2 linked regions of the Saccharomyces cerevisiae S288C genome follow. The gene in region 2 interacts genetically with the main gene of each other region. Each region holds a gene or a part of one and is shown on either strand. Other genes may lie near its edges.

Region 1 (3,632 bases), on a different chromosome or scaffold from region 2:
AAAAAGTTTCCAACCAAGAATTGAGTTTATGTAATAATGATTCTGGGACAGGTGGCAATAAGGTAACACCCTCTCTTTTTTTCAATTCCATTTTATGATTTGCCGTTTCAGTTCTAGAAGTTTTCAAAGCAGAGTTTCGTTTGAATATTTTACCAATGGATTTTGAAAATCGTTTACCAGCACTAAATTCATGCTTGGATCCCGAATGTTGGAACAGGTGCTTAACACTCACAATTTCGGGATATTTATTAGGACCATCATTAGTACATGCCATTTCCTCTTTCCTCGCCACCAGATTTTAAGGCAGTTGATGTTTGCTTCCAAGGGAGAAAAGGAACTTATAACGGTTAAAATTAATAGAGCCTGAAGAGAATGAAGGCAGCCAAGACATTGATTAACATCCTACAATTGTAGAGCAGTCAAACGAGTTAATACCACAAATGTCAGTAATTAGTGGAACTTGTGCAAGTATCACCCGGCCAGCTTGCCAAGGCGGAAAAGTAAGTCAAAAGGCACACCTCAGCGTTTGAGTACCTGAAAAACGATGAATCGCAAATAAAACTTTAAATTATGCCTGTTATACATAAAGCCATTTATATATTTATGTATTTTATGAAAAAGATCATGAGAAAATCGCAGAACGTAATCATATCTTTTCAATGACAATAGAGGAAGCACCACCACCACCATTACAAATGGCGGCAACACCGATCTTACCTCCTTCTTGCTGTAAGATGGATAGCAGTGTAACAACCACTCTAGCACCAGAACAACCCAATGGGTGACCTAGAGCAACAGCACCACCATATACATTAACCTTAGATGGGTCTAGCTTCAAAATCTTAGTGTTCACCAAACCGACAACCGAAAAGGCTTCATTGAATTCAAAGTAATCAACAGAATTGATGTCTTCGATGCCAGCATGTTTCAAAGCCTTTGGAACTGCAAGAGATGGAGCCCATGTAAAATCAGCTGGTTGATGAGCGGCCTCACCCCAACCTTTGATAATAGCCAAAGGCTTCAAATTCTTTTCCTTCAAAACTTTTTCGGAAACCAAGATGACGGCTGCAGCACCATCGTTGATTGGAGAAGCGTTAGCGGCAGTAACAGTACCGTTTTCTTTTTGGAAAACAGTCCTTGCAGATCTCAATTTTTCAACGTGTAATCTAGCAGGTTCCTCGTCCTTCGTGACTTGAGTATCAGGCTTACCTCTAAATCCCTTAATGGTAACAGGTACAATTTCATTGTCGAATTTACCTTCCTTTTGAGATTTTTGAGATTTTTGGTAGGATTCGATGGCAAAATTGTCTTGTTGTTCTCTAGTAATATCCCAATCACGGGCACACTTTTCTGCGTGTACACCCATGGCTAGACCATCGTACGCATCGTTCAACCCATCTCTTTCGACACCATCAACAAGAACAGTTTGGCCAAATTTGGCACCCGCACGGGCTGCTGGCATGTAGTATGGTGCGTTAGTCATAGATTCACAACCACCAGCTACGACAACATCAGCATTACCACATTTGATGGATTGAGCACCCAAAATGATTGCCTTCATAGCGGATGCACAGACCTTGTTAACTGTGCTTGCAACGATATGATTACTCAAACCGGCAGCCAAAGCAACTTGTCTGGCCGGAGCTTGGCCCAAATTGGCAGAAAGAACGTTACCAAAAATAATTTCGTCAAAATCCTTGGATGCATCCAATTCTGGAACCTTAGCCAAGGCGCCTTTTAAAGCAACAGCACCCAATTCCACTGCTGTCTTGGAGGATAGAGAACCCTGGAATGAACCAATTGGGGTTCTGGCAGTCGATACAATGTAAACGTTCTGAGACATTTTGAGTACGTCTAATCTGTATAAATATATATGATATGGCGCTTGTTTTAGGCTACCTTTTTTCAGAGAACTAGAAAACGAGTAGGCTTAGCAGTGCTCTTAATGGAAGCGCTTGTTCCTCTTTTATATATTTTACTGCCCTTTGCTCAACGGTGGCCTATCAACCTGGCCACGAACGTGTGGTGGGCTAGTAGTACCGTACTCTCCAGCGAAAAAACCGGCTTGGGCGGTAAACGACAGGCACCTCGTTATAAGTGACGTGCCTGTTAGGAAACGATAAACCCGGCAGGGCACAACAATGGCATCATACCAGAAATGTATCATGTTAAGGCTTTCAAGCAGTGTAGCTGTTTCTATTTACAGGATATATCGTAGATTATGTACGCAATCTTCTTCTCGAAGATGAGAGGTGACCTCTTGTAGAACCAAAGGGCTTATGTGCGTAAGGATTCTTCTTTAATCGATCAAGTTTCTCGAAAATAATCATCTCACAGAAATACTTCAAATCTTTAGCAGATTCCATGTCAATGAAGTAGTTTGGGTACCTGTTGCTGAGCCAGAAGTATAGAGTAATGATGTTGTACAATGACTCATAAACCTCTAATGAATAACTCTCATTCGGTATGCAATTGTAGTCCAGTAGGTTAAAAGGTAATCGGTATGACAGTAGGCCTCTTGTATGCCTTTTTGCTATTGTTTCGCAAAATTTGGTGAACGCCTTTGTGACCATAGGCATGTCCTTCACGGGCGCATTGCTTAGTTTCAGCTTGTCGAAAAATGGGATATCTTCCATGTGCTCGAATAAGCCAATAACTTTCAGTTTGCTCTTTAAATCAGATAACGTGAACAGGTTGTCAGAACTTTTCTCTAGCTCATCTGAAATAGTCTGCAGCAGGACACTGGTCGGCGTTCCTGGTGGGAATTGTGTCATTAGTTGAGCACATATTTCATCTGTAGGCCATGTAACCGCAGTTTTTAAATACTCCACAGGTGCTTCAATAGCTTTTCTTACACTTTTCAAAACTTTTGATTCGAAACTGGTGATAAAACCCTGAGGAACACCCCCGGAGGCAGATCTAGATTTGAACCTTCCCGCACGACCACCTATTTGTTTGATTTGAGAAGAAGTCATTTCCATTAGTTCTTCACCATTATATTTCATATTTGTCGTGAATACAACTCTGTCAATAGACAGGTTTAAACCCATACCAATAGCGTCTGATGCTACCATTATGTCATACTCTCCATTGTTGAATAGGGCGGCTTGTTGAACACGTGTTTCAGGCGGCAAAGAGCCATAAATTACAGCAACTTTCAAATTGGTGTCTTTCTCTATCTTTAGCTTGAGATCCAATATTTTCTTCTTTGAAAACGCAACGACGCAATCTCCTTTGCGCAAACCTTTGATGCCATCTTTGATAGGTTTTTCTTCAACACTTAACTTTCCTAACCTCTCATATTCATTAATCGTTAATTTATCGCCAGTCATTTTAACAATGCTCTTAACCAAAGGTAGAACACTCTTTTCACCACAAAGATGGACCTCCTTGGAAACGACACCTAAAAGCGCGTTCGTCCAAGCCCAGCCACGATCCCCATCAGACATCATTTGAATTTCATCAAGAACAACAACGTCAAATTTTTGATTTATTGGCACCATTTCTACTGTGCCTGATGTCAGCCCTGCTGAATTTCCTCTATCATCCAAATCACGAATAACTTCCTCTCCAGTCAGTAAATTGCATCTTATCTTTTCTGCATGAAATCTATCGTACACTTCCCTTGCTAG
Region 2 (3,291 bases):
AAAAGTATGGAAAAAAGGGTAATAAGCATTCCTTTTTTTTTAGCCGCAAAGCCTGCTTAACCATACATGAAGCACTTTAACATATAGATGCTGCTCTTCACTGTTACATTATATACAGAAAAAAGTGCTCGCAATAAGAAACAAACCTTCAGAAAAAGAAGCTTATCTTGAGCACAAGTCATTCACAGCAAAATTTCTTTTTTCAGTTGCTACATGTTAATTATGGAGTCCTGAGAGTAAGTAACTAGCCATTAGAATTAATTTCCTTCCCTTAAAAATGATAGGGAATGCACGACAATACGTTAATGTGCACCCAACTTGCACCACAGCATATTCTATCCTTTAGTTTGTACAATATTATTAGCTGTGAGAAAGCCCCTTCGTGTGGCACAAATTTATTAATCTCTGTCAAAATACTTCTACTTGTTTATACTGTATAAACGATTAAGTTCCATTATGAATTGTGAATTTAGAATCGGTTTGGTACATCGCTCAGTATAAGTGCTAAATAAAATTATCAAGATTTATATTTCATGGTATATCGGCGTCAGGATATTGCTTTCTCCAATATTCCTGTTGTGCTTGTTTCTCAACTTCTACTGCTTTAACAAAGTATGCTTCGAATATTGGGTCAGAACTGAAACTAAAGCATTTTATTACCTCATTTGAAGCCTCATTTGCTGGTGCATCTATCTGCGTACTTGTGGCGTCCTTTACCGATGAATTTACATTCACACCTGGGGGTTTTTCTTTCACAAGAAATCTGAAGAATTTGTAGCATCTTTCACTACTATAAAAGTAATAGCGAGTACTCCATAAACCATTATCAAGTAAATATTGATTCATATTGTCTGTGATTGCTCTCCATTCTTTTCCCTTTACCGCTGGCCTGTGGGTGATAACTTCCAGCAAAAGCTTAATTCTGAAACCCTCATCCGAGATATACACATTAAACGGAATCAACGTAGACAAAAACAAAATAGAAGTGACGAAAATTGAAAAACCAAAAACGACATCACAAGCTTTAACATTATGAAAGATCACAACTATTAAAATTGAAACTGAAAGTGCCAAGAAGGAAAATATCATCGGTTTGTAATGAGCCATCTCGTACAGCAAGTAGGTCATATATGATTTAAAGGTGTCTTCAGGTAAAGTGATATTTTCTGCGGATGATAACACATTTTGTTCCCCTAATGTATCCAATTTGACATCGTCATTATTACTGTTGTTGTCTAAATGAGGCTGCATGCAGATACGGAGTTTTGTTTCTTGTCTTGATATGGTATAGACAACCGACTGGTGTATATAAACAGAACACAGACTTACATTTTCAGGTTCGAAGTTTTATTGAAGTTCATAAACTCTTTTTAAATTATTTTGTAAACTTGAGCTATTCAAGCAGTATTCTTATTTAACCTAAGCATAGCCCCGGATACAAGGCGTATAATACCCAACTAACTTAAAATGAGAGCCACTTACTGAACACCTTGGAAGGTCATTGTTTGGTTGAAAGGAATATTATTAACTAAGCCTTAGAACAAGGCGTCACCTAAATGATAATGGCTTTTCTTCTGGGCGCGGTCGGGGCTTCGACTCATTTGATACTAGGTTAATTACCCTTTTACGCATACCTAAATATTTGTAACTTTAGATCTGTCCACTAAAAGCGTTTCGATGACTTAGTTGTGCTACTAATAGTAAACTCTTTGTGCAGGCAAATTATATCATCGCTGGCTAGACTTTTTGTCAAAAGTTCTGTTTATACAGTGGGCAGCTAGAGTGCTTAATAACAAAGATATTGTCCTTTAGACTTACACAAGAGCAGAAGCAAAGATAAGCACTGTTTGTTCTGCTTCCATCGTTTTTGCTGAAAATTTTGCATGCATATCCAACCAATATTTAACACCTGGATTATCTCGGTTCAAAGACTACAATAAACGCCCCAATAATTGTGATGCTTTTTTCAATCCAGCCCGCACAAATGAATACCGCTGCTATTGGATGCCATCTTCAGATGTACGTCCAAACTGTGGTTGGTATAGTTTTTAGAACCTCGTGGTGAGGAGTGTTCCATTCTTTCAAAGGCAATGAGAAAAAAAAACAGTTGCGATATTAGTCAACTGTTTTGCATGGTTTCTTTGACGCAGTTGTAAAATCATACTCGAAGGGTAGTTGGAAAATTTTCAACATATATTAGTAATACTTTTTCTGTAAAAGTGACACAAGATAAAATGACTCCATGGCCAAGTTGGTTAAGGCGTGCGACTGTTAATCGCAAGATCGTGAGTTCAACCCTCACTGGGGTCGTTAATTTTTCTTTTCTTTTTTTTTTTTTATCTCCGACGGAGAAAAAATTTTTTCTCAACCCCCGGCATGGCGAATGGAAAAATCACCTGGCACGTCATTTCATCAAATCAACATCGGCCTCCCCGTGCTAATATGTTAACAGGCCGAGCTCTTGCCATCTCACGCATTTTCCGCTATACAAATAGTATATATAATATTACAGCTTTTAAAGAGGGAAGAGGAAACGGAGAAGAAAATATACTACTTTATAGAGATATTCGGCAATTTTTTTTAGCAAAAGTTTATTAAACCCTAATATAGACCTTTACTTGGAGTTTCGATTTTAAGAATTTTTTATCATTTTTTTTTTTTGACGATTTCCTGTCGGTTTCGTTATAACCTGTTGTGTTGTTGTTGTTGTTGTTATTGCTGGGTTGTTGTTATTCACTTTAACATTATCGAATAAAATTTGGACTTTCAAAGTCCTGTTCAATAAGTTGTACTAAGCCTTTAAGCGTTTTTAAGTTACAAATAAAAACTGGAAAGCTTAAGGTAGCTTTCTAATATTAGGCTCTCAACCTTTTTTTACTCTCCATTTACCGCTAGATATTAACTAGTAGTAAGTATTGTGACTACTATTCCCTGTAATCAAAAAAAAAGTAATCAGATTTTATTTTATTTCGACATTACCCCTCAAATATATGACTGGTATGAATGATAATAATGCCGCTATTCCTCAGCAAACTCCAAGGAAACATGCGCTATCTTCTAAAGTTATGCAACTTTTTAGAAGCGGTTCAAGATCATCTAGGCAGGGAAAGGCCTCATCGAATATCCAGCCACCTTCTAATATAAACACAAACGTTCCATCGGCGTCTAAATCAGCCAAATTTGGTTTACATACCCCAACCACTGCTACTCCTAGGGTAGTTTCTAATCCTTCTAATACTGCAGGTGTGAGTAAACCGGGCATGTATATGCCCGAATATTACCAGTCGGCAT

What was found.
Region 1: mutations in DFP3 (region 2) and ERG10 together harm fitness more than expected from each alone (negative genetic interaction), as found in Saccharomyces cerevisiae (one large-scale study listed by BioGRID).

What each region holds. Positions count from the first base shown.
Region 1 is NC_001148.4:496,307-499,938, reverse strand, and holds ERG10 (acetyl-CoA C-acetyltransferase), read right to left. Parts: upstream 1,844-3,632; coding exon 647-1,843; downstream 1-646. Other genes in the region: SMA1 (Sma1p), read right to left, coding at 1-274; ATP-dependent RNA helicase SUV3, read right to left, coding at 2,220-3,632. UniProt on the Saccharomyces cerevisiae protein: Acetyl-CoA acetyltransferase; part of the first module of ergosterol biosynthesis pathway that includes the early steps of the pathway, conserved across all eukaryotes, and which results in the formation of mevalonate from acetyl-coenzyme A (acetyl-CoA).
Region 2 is NC_001135.5:125,480-128,770, forward strand, and holds DFP3 (DUP240 family protein), read right to left. Parts: upstream 1,252-3,291; coding exon 532-1,251; downstream 1-531. Other genes in the region: serine/threonine protein kinase SAT4, read left to right, coding at 2,991-3,291.